Caenorhabditis elegans: one gene and its partner. The protein of the gene in region 2 interacts with the protein of the main gene of each other region in a pairwise test. Each region holds a gene or a part of one and is shown on either strand. Other genes may lie near its edges.

Region 1 (5,206 bases), on a different chromosome or scaffold from region 2:
AGGTGGGTGAACGGAAGGGATAGAAAATGGGTTTGAATTTTTTTCAGAAAAATTTCCAAAAATATCGGAGCATTTTTTGTTTTTATCCATTACAATTTCGATTTCTTATCAGCTTTTTAGTATTATAACTGTCAAAATCCGTCAAAAGTGACGGAAAATCAAGAATAGCAAACATGTTATCAGATTGGCAAAATGCACATTTCAGAAAGTAACAAAAAACTGCTTTTTGAGGAGAATTTCGACTAAAACGTGGAACGAACGACCCTTGGGGTAAATGTGAGAGAATGGAGACACAGGCACGGGTGTGCGCCGCTTCACGTGACTATTTCGCTCTTTTCTTTGGATAATATTGATTTTTTAGTGGAAAAGTTTCGAAACATATATTATTTTAGAGAAGGAATTTTTCTCGTTCTATTTATGTCTTTTCTAACAACAATATTGTTTTATGATAGAGCAGCGCGTTCTTTAATTAGGAAAACACTTTTAAAAGCACAATGATAAAAAATAAATGGCGATAAAAGCGTTGAAAAATCAAAAAACCAATCAAAAACCGGAGAAAAACTTTTGAAAACAATAAAATTCAAACTTTTGTATGTGCCTTTAATATAGCGTGGCGAGACCCGTTCAAACTTTTAGTACTGCGCCTTTAAATTACTGTGAGAGTTATTGATTTTTATTGGATGCGAATTGAGAGATTTTCTTTTCCTTAAATTTTTTTGGTATTTCTTTTCATTAATACTCTGCGTTTTTGTTACAAACTTTTCCGATTTTTGTGTTTTGTAATTAAAAAATCCCACATACGTCAAATCCGGCTTAAAATAGTGCTTTGTCGATCACTTTTTGAACTTCCAAATTTCAATTTTTCAGGGATAAATAAACCAAATGAAACTGTTCGACCTGTCGCCGCACCGACATAATGTTTCCATCTAGATTACTAGAAAAATGGTGGCTCCGAGCATTTATTGCACTTGTTATTTTCTTCGTTTGGCAACTATTTTATGCAATTAATCGGGTACAAAGTTTGGAAGAAGAACGGGCCACTTTGCAAGCTACCGTGAGTTTATTTTTATGTTTCAACTGTTTTTCTGTAACTAAAATGTCACTTTTATCAAAATTTCAGTAATAATTTTCAGATAGAAGTTTTGACACGAAAAAGCGACGGGTTAAGAACGCAGATATTCGAAAAAGAACGAAATTTGGTTCGATTAAATGGGAAAGTTGAGGAGATTGATACACAGTAAGATTTTTTAAAAGTATTTATTCTTCTAAGAATATAATTACAGAATACGCGATCATCTTTCCCTCCTGCCACGTGTTAATCGTTCAACGCCTTTCATTTATTTTATAACTCCAACACATTTCCGCGCTGCTCAGCGAGCCGATCTCACTCGTCTATCCTACACGCTTTCCCATGTTCCCAACCTCCATTGGATCGTTGTAGAAGATTCCGATGAACTCACACCATCCATCGCCGGAATTCTGAAAAGATCAAAAATTCCAAATACACATCTAAATGCTCGAACTCCGTCTGATCAAAAAATGAGATACGATGACCCCAATTGGACGTTGCCACGTGGCGTTGAGCAACGAAATCGAGCACTTTTATGGATTCAAAATCAATTGAGTGGTGTGAAAGAGGGCGTTGTGTACTTTGGAGATGATGATAACACATATGATCTGAAAATTTTCGGAGAAATGCGGAAAGTGAAAAATGCAGGAGTTTGGCCAGTTGGAATAGTTGGTGGAATGTTTGTAGAAACGCCAATTTTAGAGAAAAATGGTACGGTTTTTAAATATTTCCTTAATTTATTTGAACTAGGTTTTAATTTTCATAACCAGTCCTTGCTTAAATTTTAAATACATCTTTTTAGGATCGATTTCCCATTTCAACGCTGTCTGGAAACCGGAGCGTCCATTTCCGATCGATATGGCTGCATTTGCAGTCAATATTTCTCTGGTTCTCTCCAACGCGAACGCTCTTTTCTCATTCGACGTGCCTCGTGGATATCAAGAATCTACTTTTCTTGAAAATCTTGGAATTCATCGTTATAATATGGAACCACTTGCGGAAATGTGCACGAAAGTGTATGTGTGGCATACGAGAACTGAAAAACCGAAATTGTCGAAAGAATCGATTGATCGATTGACTAAAAAGACAGGATTCAACTCGTTAGAAGCACATGCGCTTGGTGTGGATAATTAAGAAAAGTTCTAATTTTGTTATTTTTGTTGAAGTACCCATTTTAGTTTGATATAATTCATTTTCCACAGATTTTACCCAATGTACAAAAACCTACGAGTACCCTTTTATTGCATTTTGACTAACTTTCATAAATATTTTTCTTTACCTTCTTTTCAAAAAATTTAACTCCTCAACAGTTGTGTAGCTGTTTTTATTATTTACAAGTCTTTACTTCTTATACCAATTTTATTCTGTTCTGGAAAACGTAAAACTTATTCCAATTATAGATGGGAGAGCGTAAAGGACAAAACTTCTACTATCCGCCGGATTTCAATTACAAAACCCACAAATCTTTAAATGGATATCATGGAACCCACGCGCTTCGCGAACGTGCCAAAAAGATTGACCAAGGAATTTTGGTGATCCGTTTCGAAATGCCATTCAATATTTGGTGTCTTGGATGTCATAATCATGTTGGAATGGGAGTACGGTACAATGCAGAAAAAAAGAAAATTGGAATGTACTACACGACACCGCTTCACGAATTTCGAATGAAATGCCATCTTTGTGATAATTATTATGTGATTCGGACCGATCCAAAGGTATTTTCTAACTTAAGAAGTGGATGTAGTCTTTAAAAAAATATAATTCAAATTTCTAATTTTATCTTCAAAAATCTTCAAAAAAAATCATAACTTCAGAATTTCGACTACGAACTAGTGGAAGGATGCTCACGACAGGAACTTCGTTTCGATCCAACCGACATTGCACAAATCGGAGCAGTTGATCGTGGTTTTACTCAGAAACTCGCAGCAGACGCAATGTTTAAAAAAGAACATGAAGCAGAAGATAAAGATAAAGCAGCTACTGAAGAAGGACGAGTTGATAAGTTGGAATGGATTCAAGAGAGAATGAGAGACGATTTTACAGCAAATTCGTTTTTGAGAGCACAGTTTAGGGTAGGTTTTTTTGGCTTTTTAAAATCCATTTTTGGGAAATGCAGTTGATTTTTTTTTTAATTCTTTGAAAATTTTCAAAAAATTTATTAATTTTTCTTCAATTTTCAGAACGAGAAGAAATCCCTCAACGAAACTCGTGCTCGAGATGCGAATCTTCGTGATAAACTATCCATTGGAACGACTCAATTATTACCAGAAACAGAAGAGGATCGACGGATAGCGTCTATGATGACAAGATATCGAGATACAAAAAGTGAGTTTTTGCTTCTTTTATATCATTAAAAAATATTTACAGCTTTTAATTCCTGTTCAATAAAAACTATTAAATTACAGCTCACGATGATCACCTCGAATCTTCCCGCGATCGAATCGAATCACGTAGGATCTTCAGACGACCGGAAGAAACTGACACACCATCCACGTCTTCTGGATCTTCTGGAGGCGCTGTTCCATCCGCTTCCGAACGATTGAAGGCTACAATGAAAGCAGAGAGAGATAAACGAATCAATGCCTCATTTTCAACTGCTGGAACATCATCCGCGACTCAGAAACTTTTAGGAATCAAGAGAAAATCAGCTTCGTCTCTGGGTGTTCAAATTAAAAAAGCCGCTCCGGAAAACTCAAGTCTCCAAGATGAAGAACCTGCAGTGGAGAAGCCAAACATTTCAAACCCAATCTCACTTATTGCTCAAGAATACGGAAACTCGTCAGACGATTCAGATTAATTATTTTATCGAACGTTTAGCTGTTTTTTCTCTGTGAGAATTATCTTACTAATAATAATAAACACCCAGAACAAAAATTCCAATCTTCATTTTTACATACAATGCTCAGTTTAAAAATATCTTGTTTTTCTTTGGTGTATTATTCATTCGGCAGCAGACAACTTGATGACTGTCTCTCCAGAAAGCTCTCCTGGTGGCACTCCATTTGCGAACAATGGTTTTGGATCCGTGTTCTCATCAACTACCATACAGTACTGGATGATCAACTTGTCGGCTTGTGGCTTTCCAGGCTGAAATTTCAATGAAAATTATTACATAGAAGTCCAAGAATGAGAATTTCCGCCATATCTTCCGCGCATGGGTCTCACCATGCTGACAAAGGGCTACTGTAACTCGTGTCATTTTATGGGTCGCGATTGTATCATACGTTGATTAAAAAAATTTGGAAGCACTATTTCATTCGATATGAAAGTTATAATGCAATAGTGGAGCAAAACGTTGCGAAGTACAGTAACTTATTGTCAGCGTGGTGAGACCCAAACTTTCATCTTTAAACGGCTTCGTAATAGATTGTGTTCCTAGATTTAGAAAATTTATACCTTTCTGGTGATGACCAATTCCTTGACATCGCAAACTTTCAAGATTCCATAGATTAAGTTGACGCTGTAGTTTGAGTTGTTTGAGGATTTTACCTGACATGGTATTTTCAATTGACCAGTTTTCCGGCAAATAAAGAACCAACCTTATAAGCCATATGGCGATCGGTATGATTGATCATCTTGTGCTTCGAAACTCCTCCATTGGCCTGGATTGGGCACACTGGTGGATCCAACGAAATTTCGACTCCCATTGCGGCTGCACTTGACTTGGTTTTAAATCAGAACAAATTCTAATCGATTGATTCGGACGTTCTGTTTTACACGTGTTAAGATTTTATCAGCTGATGTTTTTTTTTGAGAATATGGAAGGTCGCGTGGAAATTTGAAAAGTTGTGAAAACGAAAATTAAAGTGATTTTATTAATTTGTGAAGTAATGGCATTGAGGAACAAATAATAAAATTTTCAGAAAGTTAAGTAATATCTTAACCAAACTCGTTCTCGAGATAGTGTCTATCCGTTGGACCGACCCAATTTTTTTTTCAGAAACAGAAGAGTTTCTGCTTCTTATGTATTATAAAAACTACCTATCTATGTATACGACAACTATGTTAAATTTCATCTTACGATGGTCACCTTGAATCTTCTCGCGATCGAATAGAATCACGTAGGAAATTCAGGCGACCGGAAGAACCTGCAGTGGAGAAGCCAAAAAATTCAAGGCCAATCTCATTTTTTGATTA
Region 2 (4,693 bases):
TCCATCAAGCCCGTCAACACTCATCAGCTTTGCCTGCGCAATTTTTCGGCCATCCGACGTCTTTCATTTGTCGCCGGCGCCCAGTGCCGTCCCTACCACACAACAGCAAACATGCTCCATCGCACGGCAAGAGGCGAACACGGGTCAGTTCTGCGTCCCGGTGTGTGTATGTGTTTTTGATGACAATAGTGTCTCGAAGTGCCAACCTCTAACTATCCTTTTTCGTTATCGAAAATGGAAGGGTGGGTTCTAACGTCATTCACCCTATTTGTCTATACGTCTGTTATGTTTATCATTTTCACACCAATCTAAAGCAATTTCCACGAAAAATCTAATGATCTTACATTGTGTCATTCTGAAACATTTCATTCTACTGATAGGCTTCACGACTTCTTCCAGTTTCTATTAATTTTTTCTCCAAAAGCTTATTTCTATGTTTTTGAAATATTTACAAAAACCTTTTTTCAACAACTCACATCTGTTTTGCTTTTATCAGCCACAGTGCTGATATGGATAATTTCACCTCCTCGAACAATTCTGTACGAGGCCTTTTCGGAGAGATACCAGGTGTTTCCGTTTCGAATTCTACGGCTTCTGGGAACTGGAAGATGACGCAAGAAGCATTTTTCCATAACTGAATTGAAAGTTGACACTTGCTCATTGGACCTAAATTTGAATCGAATTTTTAAAAGCATTTCTTCAATGTGATTTTCCTACCATAAGTCACGAAATTCAATTTCCACGTGGGTTTTATCGTGGTGTTCAGAAATATGTTCACATGGTGATTTCGACACAGGAAGAGTTCTCAAACAGTGGACACACTCATAGCGTTTTGCTATGTCTACATTGAGAAATTCCGATTCTGGGTGGGCGTCTAGAACATGTTCAGTCTGTTTCCTAATTTTTGTATTTCGGTTTCTACCGGTTTCCACTTCATGCTTGCACAGCTGAAAATTGTAGTTGAATCTGACGCAATTGTCGGGGTCTCACCGAACAATATGCCATATCAAGTTGATCTTCCTTTCCGTTTTCAACGATTATCGAGTCATTTGGTGTTTCAGCATCCATTGAGTTTACCATAAACAATTGCGGAATATCTGTTATCAGCGAAATATTAAAAATTAAATGAACGAACTCTTACTGTTTACAATGTTCTCTGATTCGTGATCATCCAAAACTGCATCTTCCTCGATGTTAGTTGGCTCGAGCAAAAGTTTCAACGCATCCGAGTTTTCGGCGAAAGTTCCGCGCTGAAATACTTTTTATTATTTTCGAACAATATTCGAGTTATTCAATCCTTACCGCCCATTTCTCTAATATTTCTTGGTTTGAAGACATCTGAATGGCGGGTTGGTTTGCTTCCGAAAACGGATCAACCGATTTCTGTTCCTCGGCTGTTTCTCGAAAATTAAAAGTTCCACTGTCCAATTTATCCAAATATTCTTTCATTTCTTCCGGAGTTGACGAGAAAATGTGATTCAAGTGATTGTTCGTCTAAAAATATGAATTAGGAAGAATAATTAAAGAAAAAACTCACCAAATAGCGACGAAGCTTTCGTGCAGCATTAATTTGTTCGATGTTATCATCGATACTCACAAGTACAAACCGTTTTCGCAATGATTTCGGCATTGTTATAAAAAGAGAGACAAGTTTGAATTGAGTTCGAATTCGTTCGCGAACGAACGTTCGTGGTCGACAAACTACGGTACGCTGGAGTACGCAATGAGATACGCAAACACGCTCGCGCATTTTTTTGACTTTTGTAATGCGCGCGCGCGCCACGGCCCGGCAAGTGGTACATCTATGCAAATGCGCTCTACTGATAATTTGAGTGTAGACCAGGTTTGGGCGCGTGATAATGAAAAAAGCTTTGGTCCAAAAAATTTAGAATTTAATTTCGGACATTATTTATATGCATCACAAAAAAACTGGACCAACCGTTTTTGAGATACACGCGCCCAAACGTCCAGGTATACGGTAGACAAATTGCGTACAGGTACCACTTCTCGGGCCGCGCGCGCGCAAAAATGTCCCGTGGATTTTTCATTTCACCAATTCTCGAAGTTGAGGCTGAAAAATAGTTGCAAAGTTCCCATTTTGTCATGTTTTTTTTAAATATAACGCGACCCGTTCACTGAATATGGGATTTAACGTCACTTTGCATGCGTTCCACAACGCAAATTCTTTTGTGTATTGCTAACTTTTCTCATCAATGTTGTTCTCTGTTCTTCTAATAATTTAATTCGCCTCATTCGCTTCTCATTTCATGCACTTTTGTCATAGTTAACTACAGATGGCCGCGAATAGTCTTCCTCAAGATATTTCCGATGTGGAACTAGTTCATTTGGCCCGAGCTGCGATGAAACGGGCACATTGCCCATACAGCAAGTTTCCAGTTGGTGCAGCGCTTCTCACTGAATCTGGGGAAATTGTCCAGGGTAATTTGTGATTTCTTGTCGTTGCATAACTCGAGATGTCTGCGGGCTTCTCAGTTTCGCAACATGCATTTTTGAAGTTTCTAGCATTTTCTGTAGGCTGCAATGTCGAGAATGCTTCATACGGTGGCACTATCTGCGCTGAGCGTAGTGCTATTGTTTCTGCTGTGTCACAAGGATACACGAAATTCCGTGCCATTGCTGTCGTCACTGAGCTCAGCGAACCTGCGTCTCCCTGTGGACTTTGCCGTCAATTTCTAGTTGAATTCGGTGACTATAAAGTAAGAAAACTAGAGCTTCTTAATTTTTCACTGTCATCGTTGCAGGTTGTTGTGGGAACTGCATCTAACAATAAAATTCTCATCACCTCAACTCGCGCTCTTCTTCCATTTGCTTTCACTCCTGAATCGCTCGACACTTTTGAGCAAGAAAAAGCATCAGAAGCTAAAGGATTAAAGCAAGATGATGCCACGGAGCATAACGTTACAGTCGTCTCTTAATTTTTTATTCCAATCAGAAACTCCTTTCCACATTTCCCGCCATTCCTAGTAGTGTTTTTTTTCATTTGTGATATCCTTCTCTTTCTTTCAATTTAGTTGTGTCAAAAATTCATTTTATTAATAAAACTTTTCAGAATGGCGGCCTGTGGAAACCCAAGCGCGGCGGTCAAATTTGAGAGGCTTCCAACATTCGCCGAACCAACTCATTACAACGTCCGTTTATCGCCATGCCTCAACCAGTAAGTTCTGTAATAATATTTCAGTTTAGCTAGGACGGCAGTAATAAATGTTGATATGTAGTTTAAATTTGCAACAAAACCACTTCAAGTTCTAATTCTTGTTTTTCAGATTCTCTTTCGATGGTCATGCAACGATTGACGTCACAATCAAAGAAGCTACTGATGTCTTGAAGGTGCATGCACAGAGTTTGCTGATTCAGTCGGTATCGCTTATCACTCAGCCAGGAGACGCTTCTAAATCTCTCGAAACTAGCTACGACGATAAGCTCAATATTTTGACTATCAAGCTTCCGACTACCATGCAGCCACAGAAGGTTCAGCTCGACTTCAAGTTTGTCGGTGAACTGAACGATAAGATGCGAGGATTTTATCGCAGTCAGTACAAGGATAAGAACGGCACCGAAAAGTTCTTGGCTTCAACTCAGTTTGAGTCGACTTATGCTCGCTATGCATTCCCATGTTTCGATGAGCCAATTTACAAGGCAACTTTCGACGTTACTTTGGAAGTAGAAAATCATCTGACCGCTCTCTCCAATATGAATGTAATCTCCGAAACACCGACTGCTGATGGAAAGAGAAAGGCAGTTACATTTGCAACTTCACCAAAGATGTCATCGTATCTCGTCGCTTTCGCCGTTGGTGAGCTGGAATATATCAGTGCACAAACGAAAAGCGGAGTTGAGATGCGTGTGTATACTGTACCTGGAAAGAAAGAACAAGGTCAATACAGTTTGGATCTTTCTGTGAAGTGAGTTATCTTAAAGAATAATTTTAGCTGAATTTTCAGTAATAATTCAAATGAAGTTTCAATTTCTAATTTTCAGGTGCATTGACTGGTACAATGAGTGGTTCGACATCAAATACCCTCTTCCAAAATGTGACCTGATTGCTATTCCGGACTTCTCAATGGGTGCGATGGAGAACTGGGGACTTGTCACGTATCGTGAAATCGCTCTTCTTGTTGATCCAGGAGTCACGTCCACCAGACAAAAGTCTAGAGTTGCTTTAGTCGTTGCTCACGAGTTGGCTCATTTATGGTTCGGAAATCTTGTGACTATGGTAGGGAATTTTCAACTAATAAACATATATATTCATTCTTTTCAGAAATGGTGGACTGATCTTTGGCTTAAAGAAGGATTTGCATCATTCATGGAATACATGTTCGTTGGCGCTAACTGTCCAGAGTTCAAGATCTGGCTTCATTTCCTGAATGATGAACTCGCGTCTGGAATGGGACTTGATGCACTTCGAAACTCTCATCCAATCGAAGTTGAAATTGATAATCCGAATGAGCTTGATGAGATTTACGATTCGATCACTTACGCCAAATCCAATTCAGTCAACCGCATGCTCTGCTATTATCTATCGGAGCCAGTTTTTCAAAAAGGACTTCGCCTCTATTTGAAGAGATTCCAATATTCGAATGCAGTTACTCAAGATTTGTGGACCGCACTGAGCGAGGCTTCAGGACAAAACGTGAATGAATTGATGTCCGGTTGGACCCAACAAATGGGATTC

What was found. Proteins that work in one complex are often made in the same cells at the same time.
Region 1: the proteins of cdd-2 (region 2) and ZK1307.9 interact in a two-hybrid assay, tested with the Caenorhabditis elegans proteins (one large-scale study listed by BioGRID).

What each region holds. Positions count from the first base shown.
Region 1 is NC_003280.10:9,647,022-9,652,227, forward strand, and holds ZK1307.9 (Coiled-coil domain-containing protein 130 homolog), read left to right. Parts: upstream 1-2,469; coding exon 2,470-2,784; intron 2,785-2,883; coding exon 2,884-3,141; intron 3,142-3,249; coding exon 3,250-3,394; intron 3,395-3,474; coding exon 3,475-3,866; 3' UTR 3,867-3,941; downstream 3,942-5,206. Other genes in the region: Galactosylgalactosylxylosylprotein 3-beta-glucuronosyltransferase sqv-8, read left to right, coding at 917-1,054, 1,134-1,237, 1,284-1,780, 1,872-2,203; ZK1307.4 (motile sperm domain-containing protein), read right to left, coding at 4,010-4,156, 4,466-4,558, 4,609-4,716.
Region 2 is NC_003282.8:7,545,495-7,550,187, reverse strand, and holds cdd-2 (Cytidine deaminase), read left to right. Parts: upstream 1-2,294; coding exon 2,295-2,439; intron 2,440-2,535; coding exon 2,536-2,717; intron 2,718-2,762; coding exon 2,763-2,936; 3' UTR 2,937-3,070; downstream 3,071-4,693. Other genes in the region: oef-1 (C2H2-type domain-containing protein), read right to left, coding at 477-666, 718-947, 991-1,097, 1,142-1,250, 1,303-1,494, 1,538-1,630; pam-1 (Puromycin-sensitive aminopeptidase), read left to right, coding at 1-143, 3,071-3,175, 3,285-3,923, 4,000-4,234, 4,280-4,693.